2 linked regions of the Astyanax mexicanus genome follow. The protein of the gene in region 1 interacts with the protein of each later gene in a pairwise test. Links are inferred from orthologs where the notes say so. Each region holds a gene or a part of one and is shown in the gene's direction. Other genes may lie near its edges.

What was found.
Region 2: the proteins of coiled-coil domain-containing protein 158 (region 1) and gpsm1b interact in a two-hybrid assay, tested with the Homo sapiens proteins (2 studies listed by BioGRID and IntAct). The link is inferred for Astyanax mexicanus from reciprocal best matches to the Homo sapiens genes CCDC158 and GPSM1.

Annotation. Positions count from the first base shown.
Region 1 is NC_064429.1:24,059,914-24,070,462, reverse strand, and holds the start of coiled-coil domain-containing protein 158, read left to right. Parts: upstream 1-5,790; 5' UTR 5,791-6,222; coding exon 6,223-6,319; intron 6,320-6,522; coding exon 6,523-6,577; intron 6,578-6,978; coding exon 6,979-7,115; intron 7,116-7,210; coding exon 7,211-7,395; intron 7,396-7,948; coding exon 7,949-8,058; intron 8,059-8,136; coding exon 8,137-8,455; intron 8,456-9,527; coding exon 9,528-9,604; intron 9,605-9,755; coding exon 9,756-9,866; intron 9,867-9,975; coding exon 9,976-10,090; intron 10,091-10,265; coding exon 10,266-10,385; intron 10,386-10,549. Other genes in the region: protein FAM189A2, read right to left, coding at 413-469, 2,884-3,192.
Region 2 is NC_064408.1:4,129,921-4,139,504, forward strand, and holds the start of gpsm1b (G-protein-signaling modulator 1b), read left to right. Parts: upstream 1-5,219; 5' UTR 5,220-7,129; coding exon 7,130-7,341; intron 7,342-9,584. UniProt on the Homo sapiens protein: Guanine nucleotide dissociation inhibitor (GDI) which functions as a receptor-independent activator of heterotrimeric G-protein signaling.

The DNA of each region.
Region 1 (10,549 bases):
TTTAGAATTTTGGACTAATTTCTTTATTTTGAAGCTGCAGAGCAAAACTAAATAAGTAAACATTCCACACAAAGGTCCAATCCCATTAACCCCTTTCCCTTGGAAGAGAGTAACAAGTGGAAGGGGTGAAATCTTGCCCCTAAAAATGGGACCACCCTTTTAAGTACCCAATACAAATATATAGCAGTGAAGCGCTAAAGTTCAGCAACCTAGCTGCTGGTTAACTCCTAGGCATGCATGCACAAACCAAAAGATTAAGAGTAAGTGGTAGGGCCAAGGGGTGAAATGGGATTACACTTAACATACATTATTTTTCCACTGGACTGTTTGTGGGAATTAAATTTTTCTATGTACCATCCCTTTAAGCGTGAATATCAACCAGAGTCAGAAACTGAAGCAGTGAGACACGTACCAGCAGGAGCATTGGCCGCTTCCATGTTGTGAGACCGATAATCCCCGAGAGGATGACCTGCAGAGAACAGAATCAGCTAATTCAGCAAATACGCCATGGAGCAGACAGATTAACTTTGCAATGTAGCTGCAGCAGATGCGTAAGGTATTACCATATGGCCACCAACACTTTTACATCCTGCTCTTTGTTTCTTAGCTCTGATGGTCTCATGTATTTTTGTCCATGGAAAACCCCATTTTACTCATTTCAAACCATCTAAATGCTTTTTTTTTTTACCTCAGCATCTTTGAATGCTACTTTCTGTTAATAATTTAGAGATGCTTCTCTAATATGTGGCTACACAATTCCTGGATTTCCTCAGTAATCCTTCATTATCCTCTAATTGTTTCAGTAAAAAATGATGAATAATGTATGACAAGAGTGGAAGAAAACAACTTGGGGTGAGTTCAAATTGCGTACTAATATTGAGTTTTGTGTAGGTCACTCTTGTGCCACCACAACCGATCTGACCATTCTGTCAGGCACTGACTGCACATTAGCTCTGAAGGCATCATGTGGTATCTGGCACCAACATGTTACCAGCAGCAGATCCATTAAGCTCTGTATGTTGTGAGTTTGGGCCTGAACAGATTGCATCAATGAGCTGCCCCTTAAGGTGCCCCTTAACCTGTTGCCAGTTCACAGGTTGTCCTTTTTTGGACCACATTGCAGAAAAAAACCCACAACCACCTGATGTTTAAGAGATGCTCTAAGCCCATAGTTGTCTAGCCGTCATAGTTACGCTATTGTCAAAGCGGGTCAAATCCTGATTTTTGTCCATGTTTTGTGTTTTTAACATCACCTTCAAAAATGACTGTTCACTTGCTGCATAATATGTTAAATCCCACTGAAGACCAAGATAATCAATATATTTTTTTGCTGCGGCTGTCAGTGGTTCTTATGTAATAGCTAATCGATACATAGCTACATAGTTGAGCGTAATTGATTGGCCAAGACATGTTTGGTACCTGAAGTTTGCTTCGTTAGTTTGGACTTGAACTTATGATAAGTATTACTTTTGTAAAATATAGCTATTATACATTTTTACTATAGTTAGTAGTTTAGTATAGTTTCAAAGCTTTAGCAAAAAAAAACAATTTTAGACACCAAACACATCTGATCAACCTCATCCGAGATGAGAGAAATTGTACACTACAGGCCAGTGTGTTTGTATAAGAGAAATCTTTAGCAATACATGGGCCAAAAGTTTGGACACACCTTCTCATTGTTTTTTGTGCAGATTAATATTTGGTTAATATTGAAGAAATATACTATGAAGAAATACATATGGACTTTACACACTTCAGGTAACCACTTCAAGATTGTTAGAAAAATATTCACAGTGACTTATGAAGCTGAACAAGAGAAAAAAATGACCCAGACTGTTTAAAGCTGTCATTAAAGCAAATCAGGACTGATGTGAAGAATCGAATAAAAAAATATTCTGGTTTAACACTGTTTCTATGAAAAAATATTATTTATTAAGTAGTTTCATCGTTTTCAATATGAACTGCAATGTAGAAAATAAAAGGAAAAAACATCAAATGAGAAGGTGTTTGTCTAAATATGTCAGTACTTAAGGAAACAATACTACAACACACCAAAAACTATAAACACTGACTCGCTACTGTATCACCACATTATAAACACATCACAGGTCATCCGCTCATCTCAGTGTTTGTATTTGAGATAAATATGGCCAAAGCTTGAGGTCACTGAAAGTAATTGCAGGTAACAGAATTGTGGTCATATACTGTTCATTATATCCTTGCTGGGGGTAAAATGGTTTGTCAGATTAGGTCTTCAGTACACTTTTTTTGTTTGGGTTTGATGGTTTATCTGGTTCTATAAGAAGGACCAACCTGACCAACAAGACCAAGCTGGACTAACATGACCAAACTCAAAAGCAACATAGACAATACTGGGAGTAGTTAGTCAACAAGCTGGGTTATAACTTTTCTATCTGTGACCAAAATTGAAGTTCACATAAACATAATGTGGCTTTGAAGCAGTATACCAAATCCATCATTTTTTTTATTTGGTAACCAGCTATTCAAGCACATTGCCCCTGAAAGACCATCAAAACCAGCTACTAGCAAAAGCTGGTATTGGGGTGGATTTTTCAGCAGGGAAATCCTATTAACTCAATCAAACACTAATTAATTAGCTAATCAAGTATAAGCTAAAGCTTACCTGTGGTGTTCACAACAACAGCTTTACACTACCACTACTATAAATCATACTCAAAAACAACCAAAGAAAACTGGAACATGCAGGTAAACCTATATAATGTAAACATGACAGACTGAAAATCTTATAGGAAGCAGCTTGTTTACATTTTTTATAAACACGACGGAACACAAAGCAAACACTGCAGGACACGTATTTAATAACTAAAAATGAAGCTAAATCTCAGACACTGAGGTACTCACTGAAGATCCTGCCCAAAACGGGCACGAATTCCGGATGGGAGGCGAGTTACTGAGGGACAGAGCCCCAAAGGACAGCGCTACCATGGAGCAGCCGAGGACCAGCTGCAGCAGCCCGAGCGAGAGCAGCGGTCGAGCGGGCAGCAGCGCGGGGGAGAGCCGCGCCTGGGAGCCGGACATTCGCCACCGAGCGGCGGCCGAGCAGCAGCGGCTGCGGCCTCTGGAAGACGGCGAGGGCTCTCCGAAGTGAGGGGCTAGAGAAGCCCGGGCTAAGCGACAGCAGGAACCGGGCAGGACTACCGGCAGAGACATTGGAGAAGAGCGGCCAGGAGAGGAGCAGCAGTGACCGGGGAGCGGAGGCGGCTCGGGTCCCTCATTTTACTCCGAATGGGTTCAGCTGAAACCGGCGGGAGGAGCTGCTGGATCCCCTCAGCGCTCCGTCCATGATCCTCTCGAGGTGGAGAGAAAGAAACAGAGAACACGAGGGTCTAAAATAACTCCTGGCGCCCGGATTGCGTTTCACATAGTTGGCAAAGAGACAAGAGAAGAAGAGGAGGAGGAGGAGGAGGAGGAGTGTGTGGGAATAGACCACCCTGCACTGAGAGAGAGAGAGAGAGAGAGAGAGAGAGAGAGAACAAGAGTGTGTGAGAGAAATATAGGGAGAAAAAGAAAGAAAGCGAGAGAACAAGAGAAAAGGAGAGAGAATTGGAGAGATAACAAAAGAGAAAAAGAGAAAGAATAAGAGAGACAGAAAGCGAGATAACAAGAAAAAAGATTAAAGGAGAAAAAGAGAGATGTGTATGACAGAGAAAAAAAGAACAAGAGAAAGAAAGAGAGAAAGAACAAGAGAGAACAAGAGTGTGAATGGGAGAAAGAGAAAGAAAGCAAGAGAACAAAAGGAAAAGAGAACAGGAGAAAAAAAGAAAGAACAAGAGAAAGAGTGTGTGACAAAGAGAACAAGAGAAAAGGAGAGAGAAAAAGAGAAAAAAGAAAAAAGAGAGTGTGTGTGTGAGAGCAAAAGAGAAAGAACAAGAGAGTACAAGAGTGTGTGAGGGAGAAAGAGAAAGAAAGCAAGAGAACAAGAAAAAGAGAATGAGAGAACAAGAGTGTGTGAAAACAAGAGGGAGAAAAAAAGGAAATGAGAAAAACAGTAGAAAAAGAGAAAGAACAGGACTAAAGGGAAAGAACAAGAGTTAGAAAAAAGAAGATAGAGAACAAGTGACTGTGACAGAGAGAGATAGAGAACAAGAGAGAGAAAGAAAAAGAGGGAGAACAAGAGAGAAAGAAAAAAGAAAGGGAGAGAGTGGGAGTGAAGAAAGATGATTTTGCTGATTCTTTTTTATTTAAACCAAACAGCAGTCATGCTCTCATCTTAGAGTGCATTATAATAAATCAATCATTTCTTAAAATAAGATGACCACAAACAGATTTTAATAAATCAAACCAATAAAAAAAGCAAAGCTCCTTCTCCTTCACACTGCCTTGTCCCAGCACCACACAGACGTGAAAGCTTCTAAAATCATGCTGAAGGTTAAAAGCTTCTAAATCATGCCACAGATTTAAAAGCTTTTAAACATATGCTACATACTTAAAGGTGTCTTACCATGCCGCTTATTTAAAAGCTTCTAGATCATCGAATCATCAAATAGCCATTAAAAGCTACTTAAAAATGCCCTTAAAAGTAATTTCCTGTAAAAGAATCAAAATGAAAAAAAAATAATAGAACGAATCCCCATTCAAATTAATTGAATCGCCATTTAAAAGGATCGCACATAGACTGTATATAAAGATGGACGCCGTGTCGCCGTTCCCATTCATTCAATGAAAATGAAGCCAAAATCTTCCGCCATTTTGGCGATTCAGAGACCAGAGTCTGCGCAGTAGAGACCAGAGGAGGGAGAAAGGCTGTGGAGAGACCGCCTACTCTTTTAAATAACCCCGCCCCTGAGGGCTGCCTCGCGGTCACAGACTGCAGAGCGGGACGGAGCGGAGCTGACGGTCTGTTATTGGTCCCGTCCATAAGCAGCCCTTTTACCATAACCACACCTTTTTTTAATAGAGCCGAATAAAGTTTTAAAAACCGAATTCTGTGGGGATATAAAAATTTGACAATATAAGCAGAGGTTACACTAGCTGTTGCATTTAAATAATGGAGGTAGAATTACAGTATATTAGAAAAAAACGTGATTGAAAGTTGTCTGTTTTGCCATTGAAACCTATGGGGATGGGTGGAGTTACACAGCTTTCTGCAGCCGAACAGCAGGGGGCGCCCGACCTGTGGTGGCTTCACTTTTAAGAGACGATGCTCTGTCCAGCTATATACAGTCTATGGTATGGAGCGAATTAATAGTTTGGTTTAATGTTTATATTTTCTGTAGAAACTGGAAATATATGTTACGTTTTCTTTGCTTTTTTAAACAAAATACTTCATTCTACTTTCTAGAATTAGAGGAATATCCTGGAAAAGTATTTAGTTATATTTTTTAATTTAAGTTTTAGCTGTTTATCTCCATTGACCCCCATTCATTAAGGACTCACTAGTGGGCTCCATCTAGCGGTTTGAGCTCATTTTATGACAGTAACGGCAGGAATACCAGTAAGTGGCGGTCTCTCCATGAACCGGTGTTTTGTCGGGTTAAGATACCCATCGATACGTGCTTCCTAAGGCACTGCGCATGCGCTGACCTACACTTTTTGATGATTTAAACACTTTAAAAACAAAATTGTTTTGTTTTGTTTTAATAATAAATCTGTTATAACATGGACTCACTGTCATTACAAAAAAGTGTAAATGAAAATTAATAAGAATAAAAAAATACAATAATTAGTATAAAAAATACAAAAGCATTTTGTAATGTCCTCTCGTTGCCAAGGTACAGTAATTTATGCTTTCCAAATATACTAGCTAGCTACATCTACTGGGACTCTTACTGGAAACATGCTCTACTATGGTGTTTTTACAGTTAAATAAACACTAGGGCAGCACGGTTTGACAAGATAGCACAAATTGACGGAACACCGGCTCTGGTACAGTAGGATACCTGTTGCTAGAGCAACAGCGCGGCTTCCCTCATCCAGTTAAGCTGTAGGCTAACAAGCTAAGCTAAGCTAAGCTAAATTAGCTGCCTTGGCTCACAGAGAGGGGAAAAGTTATTGAACGGAGTTATTTTGCTAGTTAGCGAGGTTAGCTAAGCTAATTTAGTAAGTATGCATTTTGTTCGGCGCCCGGCAAATTAACGACTCGCCCAGCTCCGCTTTTCCATATTTACTATTTCGCCCGCTGTTTATTTTATCAGTGTTGAAGAGTGAACAATCACAGAATGCAGCCCGACTCTGCGAACAATGTTTACCGGTCAGAGTGAGAAGCGCCTCCGCCCGGAGGTCGAGCCCCGCCGTGAGAGAGCTGTGAGGGACCCGCTTCAGCCAGCTCTTCCCCCAGGTGAGTTCAACTCTAATATTCCCGCTGTTAGTCCGCATAAAGGCGGCAGGAAAACCCTTAAGGCTGTAAAAGTTTATCGTAGTTTGGTAGTAAGCTAGTATGTTAGCGATAGCGACAGTTAACTAGCTAGGTTAGTTAACTAGTTGGTTAAGCAGGCCAGACTTTACTAATCTAAGTCTAACAGTTCCTTAATCTTTTTTTAGGTTGTTTGGAAGAAGGCATGCCAGAAAGACCCAATATCAGCCTGGATGTTCTGAGGTATGAATAATTAATATTTGGGAGAGATCTGTCTATCAATTCACTCATTCACCTGTTCACCTATCCATTCAATTATCAATCTTTCCATCTCTCTGCCTGTCCCTCTATTCCATTCTCTATCCATCCACCTGTCTTTTTTGTCAGTCCATCCATCCACCCATTGATCTGTCTTTTTCTCTCCCTACCTGTCTCTCTGTTCGTCCGTCTGTCAATCCATCCCTCCATCCTTCCACCCACCTCCTTTTGGTCTGTCTGTCTTTTTTACCTTTTAAATCCATTTTGCTATGCCCACTAACTTGACAATCCTGGTGATGCCTCTGTTTCCAAGAAAAAGGTGGGTTGAAAAATAGTGATGTAAAAAACACTTTTTGTTCTAAACAAACTAATCACACTCTTCAAAGTGAGGAACTGGAGAAACAAACCAGGGAGACACAAAAGCTTCAAGAAGAAGTTGAACAAGCCACCAGACTGACTATGCAGAGGATGGGTCGGACATCTTTCAACACGGACTTGCCAGTAAACTACAGTTCAGCAACAAGTGAGAATATTACACTTTTTGATAATAGCCTGTTATCTGTATACTTTGAAGTCTACATGAAACTCAGTTACATGATTTTGGCTTCTGTCTTGCAGGTAGATCATCAGAAGCATCATCAGAACGTGGCATTTACAGACAACCGTGCGTCCTTCGACCTACTGCCGATCATTTGGATGTGAACACCGCAGGATGTTTGAACTTCCCAGGGAAAGATGTTCTTGAGCAGGCTGTAGAGGAGTACTCTCAGCAGGTCTCTGACCTTCAAAGGCAGATCAGAGAGGTCTGTATCTGGAGCAAGTTAGCAGCCTTTTTGAAGTGATATTTGTGTTTCATACTAGGGCTGCAGTGCACAGTCCACATAAAAATCAATGACATTCACAAATCTACAGATTGCAGTTGCAGTCATATTGCTTATGAAAACATTAATAATGACTGGTGGATTTGACAATATTTTATTATTATTGTTTTAATGCATTATTTTATGGCTTTTTCTGAGTAGCGATTCGACACTGAACAGGGTATTTCATTAAAAAGCTTAAATACTTGTTATAATACTTTAATTTAATGTAATTAGTGCCTTAGGGTATATTATATGTTTAATATTAATTAATACACTATTAGTTATATATATTATGTACAGTTTGTGCTATTGGTGTTATTTTGTATATTTTCTGTGTTATGGCTTTTTAAATGTCTGAGGGAAAAACATTGTATTATGTATGGTGCAACATAAAACTTGTGATTAGTATTTTTGCTATATCGATTAAAAATTAGGTCTATCAGGTGATTTGACCTTATACAGTGTCTTAATATTCCCTGTTAATTTCTTTCAGACATATGAGCTGCATGACCAGCAGAAGTATCATTACCGCCACACCATCATCCAGCTACAAACCAAACTGCACGAGAACCAGATTGAAAAAGATGCACTGGAAGACTTAAGGTAAGAGAAATCTAAACATAACCCTTGTGATCTAATTATGACTGAAGTGCAGTACGTCTGTACATTTTCTCCTTACAGAGAGAAGGAATCTACGAAGCAATTTGAGCTAACAGGACAGTTACAGGAGACTCTTCAGGAGTTGCACAAAGTCAAGCAGAAGCTGATGGAAGCTGAGGACAGAGCAGAGTGTTTTAGAAGACAAGCAGAGACCATGGAGCAGATGCTGCATGACGTGTTCATCAGACTCTCACAGTATGAGAAGCGCAGTGGAAAAAGGAGCTATCTCTGCTGTGACGGCCCCTTCAATCCTGACAAGCTTCCGCTAGGACCAGTCCTGGAGAAAGCACTACAACATATTGAAAATGAGAACTGTGGTCTCCAGGAGAAACTGCAGTCGGTATGTCACTTATGTCTAAATGCTTTTATATGTTAGAAATGTTACTTTGATAATATTTGATAATTGTGATAATTGTAAAATTGTCGATTATATTTTTGTATGTTTGGTCACATATGTAACAGTGAACAGTATTTTATTCAGCTAAGTGAACAAAACTGTAATTCTTAAAAAAATGAAAATTATTTATTAGGGAAAGTAAAGGGCTACCTTTATTTAGAGTTAGCTTAGATTTCCAGATTTTCAGTAAGTAGCAGCATTAGCATTAATGCAGCCAGACAGTGCTACATTGAGGAACCCTAAGTGTTCGTCCCACGTAGCACGTAACGTGGTAAATAAGCAGACTGCAGTCTGATATACTCATCTCTCTGAACGGTGAAAGAGCTAGCGCTTAGTGCGGTTAGCGGGTAATGCTAATACTGCTCAAGCAGTGCTAGCCGGGGTTAGCAGCAGTCTACAGGACGATAATACTCACTTTGGAACTGCAAAATAACTAGCGCTAGCACTTAGCGCAGATAGCGGGTAGCTCCAGCAGTGCTAGCCGAGGTTAGCAACCGATAATACTCGCCTCTGAATGACAAAAGAACTAACGCTACTAATGCTAATACAGCTCCAGTCTCTGTGCTGGAGAACTAAACTGGAACTCCTGTATAACTCTTCTGCACTTCAGCACAGTGGCTTAACTGTTCTGACTGTTAAAATTTATACATAAGGCATTTTGGATCATAAGGCGCACTGTCGATTCTAAAAAAAAATATATAGGATTTTAATTGCTTTGTTATGCTATTATCGCAATATTTTTGCAACTATGCATTGTCCACAAAAAATGCTAATAGGACAGGCCTTTGGTGAATTAAAAGACAAGGTGATGTTAGCCATTTTTATGAGGTATGCTAATGCAAGTGTTTTCAACTATGAGTGGATGAAAATATTTCCATAAATGGAGGGAAATAAACCTGTGTTTTTTGTTTTATATATTTTCATATGTGTGACTAATGGCATCACTTTAAACTGAATTGTTGCAAATGTAAGTATCACCTGACTGGCAGTTAATTATTATTATTTTTTTGGGCAGCTGGAGAGGCAGTTGGAAGACATTAATAAAGAGGCGTCTGAGAGAACAGAATCTCTTCTGGAGGAGCAGAAAGTGAAGTATGCATATAAACAACTAAACAATACACATTTACTATATAGCTTTAATAACGTTATATATAATGATTTGAGATTATTGATATGATTGTCAGTTATTTGTACAATTAAATATGTATGTATGCATAATTTTTATACATTGTGTTTTATACAGAGTGGAGCAGCTCATTACCAGTCATGACCAGGAGATGGCGGCATTGACTAAGAGCCTCTGTCGGTCTCAGAGTAATGCAGCCAGTCTGCAACTACAGGTGGAATTATTACAGTAAGAGCCATGCTGATCTGCCTCGGGCACATTTTATTATAATGCTATAGCATCTTTAAATAGTATGGAAGCGTATATAGAAGTATTTTGTGTTTTGTGTTTATACAAGAAAACAGGCTGAAAGCCAGACCTCCTCTCATCAATCCCAGATCAGCATTCTGGAGTCTGCTCTCTCTGTACTGCGCTCAGAACTAATGGAGAATCAGAATCAGTATCAGGCAAAGGTAATGCAAAATATCTATACAAACACCCCACATGTTCCTTGAGCTTTACGCAGTAATGAACTCTAATACACGCTGCTGTTCTTGATAGTCTCCATATGCTCTGTAAACATATGGGAGCTATCAAGCACCAAGCACATTTCTGGGAAAGGGAGTGAACTTCTGGCTCCTTGTTTAGGTCAATGCCCTGGAGGAGGCGCTGACTGTGGCTCATTCAGAGGCTGAGCAGATCCAGAGAGAAAGAGACCTCTCACACCAGCAGGCTGAGGAACTGGACGCTCAGCTGTGTCGACTCACGGTAACACGCATCTGAGCCCTGTTTATGGCACATTTTGCTGTAGAACAATGGACATTGTTCAGAGGCTTCTGCAGAGTACTTTCTCTGAATGCTTTCTAAGATGCCCAAGCTTTATGCACAATAGAGGCTAAGTCTGCACGATACACTGTGTCCAAATGTTTGTG
Region 2 (9,584 bases), on another chromosome or scaffold:
TTATACTGACATTTTAGCTGCATAATAAAAGTGTGAAATTTACCCAAACCCACTAGTTCAGATGTGATAATATAATACACATAGTGATAATAAAAAAAAAACACAACAAGAAAAATGAATAATGTAAAGAGAGAAAACTTTATTAAATTCTGAGGGAAAAACCAGCCAGTCTGAGCGTAGCTCTTCTTTCCCTTTATTAGAGCCTCACGTTCATCTCTGAGGACAAAATACTCTGAATTAGTAACAGTGCTTCACGGAAAACATGATCATAATTCCACTATTAACACATTAAATCACTCAGGTACAGGTTAATCTACAGTTATACCAGCTAGCAGTTAAACCTGTTGCACTGTACGACCCTCTGACACTGCTAGCGCACTGGCGGGGTTAGCTTAGCATGCTAGTGTAGTTAGCTTAGTGCACTATCCGTGGGGCTTGGTGCTTGGAAAGCTAGCTAAAGGGGGATTTGCTTCCCTGGTGAAACGGCTAACCCGCTAAGCTAAGCTAACGGTGGATTCAGGCGGACAGGTCTTACATTTAATCAAGTACAGGCAAAAACGACACTGGAAAACAATTTGAAACAGTGTTAAATGTGCTAGTTAAAAAAAAAAAAAACAGGCAGCACTGAGTGGAAAAGCAGTCAGAAGAAAATTACTTACATTACATTTTTGCAGAAACTCCCCGCAGACTCCCCAGACTCCTGGGCGCTATATGTGTAAAAAACTTTACACATATGCAGAGAAAATGGGCTAATTGTAAGGAACGATTTGGGTTTATATGAATCGATATCGGATCATTCAAATGAAGATACGATTTTTTTAACACACATTTTTTTAGATGACACACTTGGATTTTCATACATTTTTAGGGGTGTATTGTGTTGTAATTGTTGTTATTTTATTAGATACTGCTATAACTCTGAAACATTTGTGGCCTGCAAGCATGAAACATCGGGCCCGTGATGTTGTTTGAACTATAATGAACAGTAAAGAAAAAAATAAAATAAAATGCTTCTCTGGTGAGCTTTTGTTTACATTCCTCCCCTGTCTGTCTCTCTCTGTCGCGCTCAGCATAACTTTAGTTTCTGCTCGTCCTTGTTTTTCCGCTCGTTCTTAGGCTCCCTATCTCCTTTTAAGGGCGTTTTTTTCCCCGGCTGTGTCCCAATTCACTAGCCGGGGCAGCAGTAGTGTATTAGAACGCGACCCTGATGACACAGGTTTGATCGTGTGTTTATTTATTTGTGTGTTTACTTATTTATTTATTTACTTTACTCTTGGGTTTATCTGCTCTGAGATCAACTGTTCTGCAATTGGGTTCAACAACCCTCTGGGCTGGGGAGCTACTAGTCTAGTCAGTTTAGTTCTGCACTACTCCTGCCTGTATTACTCATATTGTGGGAAAATGACTGTAAGACATGTTAAAATAAGGTTTTTTAGGGCTTATTCTTTCACTGCTATAGCTAATGTAATTATATTAAAAGTACCTTACAAATGCAACATCATAATACTACAAAGGTACAATGCAGTTTATAGGTTTTAGGAAATGGGAAAATGAGTGTGGGACATATTGAGATAGATTTGCATGTGCCATTCTTTTACAGCTATAGCTAATTTTATAATTACTATCTGCTAGCTGTGCTACATGAGTTAATGAGTTAAAAATGTATTATTTTAATATTGCCCTTGCCAGCTTGGTTTGTGCTCAGTGCTACCACCCTTAAATGGGTTTTGACACAGTTCTAACAACTGACAGATGCTAACCATACAGGAAACATGCTAACATACAAGCTGTGAGCTAACATGCTAACTGTAGGGTAAAACACACTAAATAAAATTGAGTAGTAAATGTGAGGCTCTAAGGCTCCAGCTTCAAGTTTACGCATCAGCTGGAAGTTGTAGTCAACCCCTATATACTGCATTTTGTGTCATGTAGCACAGTTAGCACAATAAAGTCTATCACTACCACATGTATCTTTCTTTATGTCTCACACTGATTACACTGGCAGTAATTGGAGTAATTGCACTAAGACGAAATTAGCTAGCATGTAAGTGCTATCATCTCAGCACTCTCGGCTAATTGCCTGGGTAGTTTATAATCCGGCAGGATCCCAAATCTCATTTCCTTTAATTCAGGATTACCCAGTAAATAATCTTAGCCAACACAACAAAGAGCAGCTGCACTCAATGTATATATATATATGCATATATATAAGCTATATATATATCATGTTTGAGCAAAATTAACACTGCTGTTTTATTCTATAAACTACAGACAACATTTCTCCCAAATTCCAAATAAAAATATTGTCAATTAGAGCATTTATTTGCAAAAAAAGGGGAAATGGCCAAAAAAAAAAAAAAAAAAAAACAACAACAAGAAAACAAGTTCATATTCATAAAGTTTTAAGAGTTCAGAAATAATCAATATTTGGTGGAATAACCCTGGTTTTTAATCACAGTTTTTTTTCATGCATCTTGGCATCATGTTCTCCTCCTCCACCAGTCTTACACACTGCTTTTGGATAACTTTATGCTGCTTTACTCCTGGTGTAAAAATTCAAGCAGTTCAGTTTGGTGGTTTGATGGTTTGTGATCATCCATCTTCCTCTTGATTATATTCCAGAGGTTTTTAATTTGGTAAAATCAAAGAAACTCATCATTTTTAAGTGGTCTCTTATTTTAGTTCCAGAGCTGTATATATAGCCTTATACCTGGTTTCTTTATGGGTATAATAATAATAATAATAATAATAATAATAATAATAATAATAATAATAATAATAAATGGCTTAAATTGCACATATTTGACTGAAACACATACTGTATCTAGACGCTCATGACCACCAGAGCGCCTCGCTCTGAGTATTAAAGATTCATGGGTGTCGTGACCCTGAGCTGAATTAATAGGCGTGGGTTGTGCCGTGCCGGTGGGGAAGCTCATCAGCTCAGCACGTCAGCAGCCTGTCTGATGCTCGTGTGCAGCGCTCAGATCAAACTCTGTGAATGTCAGAGAAAAGCGTGGCGGTTCTGTGATCTGCATGGCGGTGGTGGGGGGGGGGGGGTTACTACATGTTTAAGCAGCTGAACATATGTTAACATGCACCGCTCACGAGCTGCTAATCGTATTGCAGGGCTCAGTATGTTCACTGGTGCAGACGCACTGCGAGGAAGGTCTAGGACTTCTTCTATTCCATGATAAAACTCTTGCATCCGGGGTACAATTAAAAAAAAGTAGTTCAGTGGCTCCTCCATGTCCACTCGCTGTTGTGTTTTTTTTTAAGTGGATCTCCGTGGAACCTGTGGTGCAACCAAAGTGTAATGAAGGTGCGCGGCAGTGAACAAATAGCTATTTTATTAAACGTAAGGAGATAAAACTCAAAGATGTGGATCCGGACAGGACTAAAATTACCGGAGGACCACGAAAAGAGTTCAGCGAAAAACAGTAGATAAATTACGTCTGTGAAAAACACCTACATGGTCGTTCTGGATGGGAATAAAATCACAGAGGACCCCCCTATAAAAGAGAAAATTACATCAGAACCCCCTGAGACACTTATCCCCCTCTAGATAGGGTTTTAAAATCTTTTAATTTAATCAAAAATCGTCAGTGCACCTTATATTCAGGTGTACCTTATGTATAAATTTTATTATGCTATAAAAAGTATTATAGTTATAAGGGTGAGTTTTCAGTGAAGTTTCTGTCCAGCGCCAAGGCTGAAAAAAAAATAGCATTAGCTAATAACCATTAACCAGGCTAACCATGCTAAGAGCTAGCTCTTTTGTTGTTCAAATGTTAGTATATCGGATCATACATTTATTCTGATCCTTTGTTGTTACTGCTGTGTTTCAGTACCCTTTAGCACCCTCTAAGTACAATTATTGTACATTTGTTTATTGGCTACATCTATTCTAATCCTTTGTTTTTACCACTGTGCTTTCTTTAGTGCATCCTCTAGGTGCAATTAAAAGATGTTACAAGTTGCAAATCAACTCTGTCAAATCTGATCCTTTGTTTTTGTCAATGTGCTTTAGCAGAGTGCATACTCTAGGTCCAATTATTGGACACTATGGCTTGTGGATTGGCTACTTTTATTCTGATCCTTTAAATTGCCGCTGTGCTTTAGCAAATTATGGCCTTAATGGACATTACAAGTTGCATATGAACTACATTAGGTCTGATCCTTTGTTTTTGCCACTGTGCTCTGCCCTTTGGCACCATCTCGATGCCATTAATAGACATTATTGGTTGGGTATTGGCGATGTTAAACTGGAATGAGTTCCAATCCCTTGTTTTTACTGTTGTGCACTAGCAGAGTACCATTTGGCACCCTCTAGGGGCAATTGTTGGACATTACAAGTTGTGTATCAACTACATTTTGTTTGATTCTTTGTTTTTGCCACTGTGCTTTAGCAAAGGATGTCATTAATGAACATTAAGAGTTGGGTATCAAATATGATAAATCTGATCCTTTGTTTTTGCCACTGTGCCCTTTGGAACCCTCTTAAAGCCATTAGTAGACATTATGGTTTGGCAATTGTTAAGCTATGTTAAGCTGGAATCTGTTCTATTCCTTTGTGCTTTTAGAGGGTACCCTTTAGCACCCTCTAGCTGCATTTGTTGGACATTACAAGTTGCTTATCAATTACGATAAGTCTAATCCTTTGTTTTTGCCACTGTGCTCTCTCTAAATGCCCTTTAGCACCCCCTAGGTGCTATTAATAGGCGTTATGGGTTGGCTTTTGGCTATGTGAAGCCGGAATCAGTTCCAATACTTCGTTTTTGATGCTGTGCTTTAGCAGAGTACCCTCTGGCACCCTCTAGGTGCAATAGTTGGACATTACAAGTTGCGTGTCAACTATACTGAGTCTGATCCTTTGTTTTTGCTGCTGTGCTCTGCCTGAATGCCATTTTGCACCCTCTAGGTACAGTTATTGGACATTATGATTTGTGTATCGGCTACATTAATTCTGTGTGCACAGTTTTGTAGACTATGTCTTGAATATTGGCCATGTTAAGTCCGATCCTTTGTTTTTACTGCTGTGTTATATCTATAGTAATCTTTATGGAGCATTAGGGGTTAACAAGTCTTCATTGTCAGTGTGTTTTCCTCCATATATTATGAATGAACGTCTGCAGAGCTCCTCCACGGGGGAGTGCCCTTCTCCCAGGTCTGAGCTCCGATTGAATATCTGTCAGGATCAGCAGGTGCTGGATTAGCCGGGACTTCTGCGTGATGCTCCGGGTGTCCTTCCAGCCGAGGCACTCTGGAGAATTAGGGCAGCTTGTGGCTCTTAAAGGCTCATTTACCCTGCTGAGCAATACTGCTGTCACACTGCCGTCATTCATCGCTACCCGTAACCCGGTCGCTGGAGCCTCGGCGAGACCCTCGGCTTGAGAAACGACAGCATTCGTCACCGGAGACAGTGCTGGGGCTCGTGGTGAAGCAGTCGGCTCGTGATTTGGTGGATTTGTTGGGAGAGAACAGCAGGCAGAGCTGGTGGGCGGAAGACTCCGGTAACAGAATGGATTTTTGATTGAAATGACCTTGCTGCCCGTGGACCTTCGAGTGGGTGGTAGAAACTGCAAGCCTTCCAAGATATTCTTTTTTTTCTTGAGATATTACATAAGATCTTAGTATTGAAACTCTGAAAGATACTTTCTGCTTCTTACACAAGACATTTTTGCCTGTTTTTACCTCCTCAACATTGTCGATTTGAGAACTTCTCGAGAACCTTTTGTAGGTTCTTGTTGAACCGCTTGCTTTTAGTTTTAGGGAACCTTGTTTTTGCCTGTTTTTACTGATTCTTCAAGACTTTGACTTTGTCCAAAATTGTCCATTTGCGTAAGATGCCTGGTAATTTGAAGATTTTAAGGACACCCTGTTTCTTGATAGCTTCCACAAGACTCTCTAAAAATCTAATTCTAAAGAATAATCTAAAAAGGGTAAAACAACTAAACTTTGGGACTTTGTTTTAAACTTTTAGGTTGTTAATTTTAAGGTCTTTGAGGAAACCCAGCATCTTCAAGACTCCTTGTAAAACATCCAGTCTTTTAAAGACACTGAGGACAACCTTTCACGAGACTCTGTCATCTAAAGACTTTAAGGACACTCTGTTTTTCATATGTGGTCAATTTTTAAGTGTATGACCACATCTTTGGATTACTTGTTTAAGACAGATGTCAAATTCTTTGTGGACACGTTCTTTTTATCTAGATAATTTCTTAAAAAACTTCAGAATTGTCCATTTGTCTAAGATGTCAGATTTGGTAGCTTCTCCAAGACTCTTTCCATTTTCCTGTCTGTGTAAAACATCCAGTTTTTTTTTAAGACGTTGAGGACAACCTGTCCAAATTTTGTATGAACCCCCTTTAAATTGTGACTTCAGGATTGTCCATTTGTTTAAGACATGGGAATTCTTTGAATCTTTTTGAGGACACATTGATTTGAAAGCTTACTCAAGACATTTTAAATTCAAGATCGTCTCATTTGTGTAAGATACTGGAAATTTTGTAGGGACACTCTGTCCACTCCGTCCATTGTCCCATCTATGTAAAACATCCAATCTTCTAAAGACGTTGAAGCCCCTTTTTTTTTTTTTTTTTTGCTATTAAGACTGTGACTTCAGGATTGTCCATTTGTTTAAGACAGGATTTCTTTAAAGCCTTTTGAGGACACGATAATTGGACACTTTCCTCAAGACTCTGTCCATGTTTTGGTAGCTTGTTTTCATCTATATAAGACATTACCCTTTTTTTAAAGACTTTGAGGACATTGGACAGTTTCTTCAAGACCAATGTGAAAAATATCTAATCATCTAGTCATCAAGTTACCTGATGTCCCCTTTTTGACTGTTACTTTAAATCTGTGATTTTAAGGTTGTCCCTTTTTTGAAGTCTTTGAGGACGTCCAATTTTGTTAGCATCTTCAAGACTCAAGACTGTCAATTAAATCATCTGTGTGAAACATCCAATCTTCTATAGACGTTGAGGACAACCTGTTTTTGCCTGTTGTCCAAATTCCATGTCCACCTTTTGGATAAAATCTTTGAGGACACCTTGATTTGGTATTGTCTTCTCATCTACATAAGACATCCAATTTTCTAAAGACTTTTTCTAAAGAAAAGTTCACGATGAGTCACTGTCAGGTCTTGCTTTGTAACCGTAAGCCTTTGGACATAAGTTTGAACGTCCCAATGTCCCCCGAAGCCTGTCCTCTGAGTGCGGCTCAGATTGCAGTATGCAGGCTGGTCCATCGGGGTCCCAGACCCCAGTCCACCTTAAAACCCATCCGGACAGAGCTGGGGGTCTACGTGGAGAAGAGTCGCGCTAAACGGAAACACAGGTACAGATGAACCGTCGCACACAGACGACTCTGTCAGGATTAGCCTGGCTAATCAGCTGTTAAAGCTACACTGAGCCGTGGGAAGTAGGGCAGTACCCATGATGCTTTGCTACGAGTAGTAAAGCAAGGCCTTGTGTGCTGATAGAGCTCGTAAAATGTGAGATTTATGGTGGATAAAGTTGATTAAATTGGTGTAAACTGGTATAATTGTATCAGGTTCCCATTGTTTTGTAACTCACTGCTAGTGCTGGGCAGTATGACAAGAAATGGTACAGTATTTTACAGTATTTTATTCTTATTATTATTTTATTGGGTTTTTATGTAGGTTTGTGATTTACTCTACTTTCAGATGTAAAAATCATCACTGTCCAATAAAAAAACACTTATCTCCATTTTTGCCGATTTTTAGTTTACTACATAATTTGAAAAGACAAACTGTCCCTTACACTGTGCCAAAATTTCTAGATGAACGGACCAATAGAAACTCTTCAAAATTACCTGAAATAAACTCTTTTTACATTGACTTCCATTGAAAGTTTACAAGTTTTTTCTCTCTTCTGTAAAGTTGATGTTTTGGAGATAAGTGTTTTTCATTGGACAGCAACAATATAGTATAAAACACTAAATCTTTTAATTAAGGCTTTGATTACTATTGGGTTCACTTTGTCCCACAAAATATATAAACAATATATGAAGAAATCAGACTTTATTATAAAAAAAAAACAGCTGGATATTGTAATTAAACAATAGACTTAAAAAAAGAGATACACCAACAACTTTAACACAGCTTCCTTTTTAAATAGTTCCATAAATGCTATAAACCTAAAATACTTAATGTTTAATCATTCAAAAAGATATTTCTCAAAAGCTCTATGGCAGACGTTTAATATGTCAAATCAGATTTGGTCTTCATAATAGAAGCTATTAGTGCTGGGCAGTATGGCCAAAAATGCATATCATGGTATTTGTTATGATTCTGACGGTTTCACGGTATATAACCGTATTTTTTACATTTTTAAATTATTATTATTTTTTGCATGACTGGGCTTTAATATAGGTTTGTGAGTTACTGTACTGTTAGTACAGTAAGTATTCAAAGATATATTTCTCAAAAGCTCTATTGCACAATAAATAAATATTTACTATTTATTATTCCTGAAGCCAATAGAGGCATTATAGTACAGCTACAATTTCCTTTCTTTCTCCAGTCAAAAAATACATTCAAATCGTCCTTTAAGCCACAGTAATAAATAATTAATATATTTAAAAGGGCTGTAGTTACAACTCTATAGTACTGGGATAAAACACTCAAAACAGAAGCAGGAGCTGGTAGTTTCTCACTTCACATGGTTGCAGCTGCTTCTCTGACAGTTCTGTTCCGCATGGCGGTCCACAGCGCCCTCTAGCGGTATGGCGGTATGAGAGAAAATGCAATGATTCCTGCAATGGGCGCAACCTATTGTCCACATACTGCTTCCATCTCAAGAGCTTGTCTTGAAGACACTGCAGATGCTGTACTATGTCTTTTCTGTATATTTAGCACAATAAATACAACAGATATACAATCTAAATGGATTGTTCATGGTAACTTTTATCTTCATTTTAAATAGCATAGCAATCTGACTCTTCGTTTGTCGTGCAACTACTGTATATTTCCAAATTCTTCTATATTTGGCCAACTTGGGGCCCCACAGGTTGCGAACCACTGCTTCTGTAAAAGGTTCCTACAGTCATATTTGTGTATTAAACCTCAAAAACCTCAAATTGTACACAATTTCTGTGAAATCGGAGATTGAACTGAGTCTTGAATCGTTTCCTAAATAATCATAATCTAATAAAACCTGGTGTCAGAGCTTTACGGTTAGCGTATCCTGGAATAGAACGTAGGAAAGAACCTTTTCCTGTCTGAAAACAGAAACGAGTGTGGTTGGGTTAACGCCTTGCCAAAATTCTTTGGAGCAGATTTCCAGACTTCTGTTTTAATCTCTTAAATTCTTCTCAGACAGCTGGAGCTCCTCTGCTTCAGACTGCTCTGCTCTCTGGCGAGCCTGTTGGGTAAAGTCGTCATAAATGCGGGAGGAATGTGAGCTATGGAGCTCCTGACCTCAGAACAGAAAGGATATTGTTTCTCCTCCTCTCCTTTTTTTCAGAGACTGAAGAATCTGCTCTAACCTCAGACATTCAGGGGCTTATTGGTGGAAAGAACTAGAACTAGAGCTTAGAAACTCATATAAAAGAAAGCA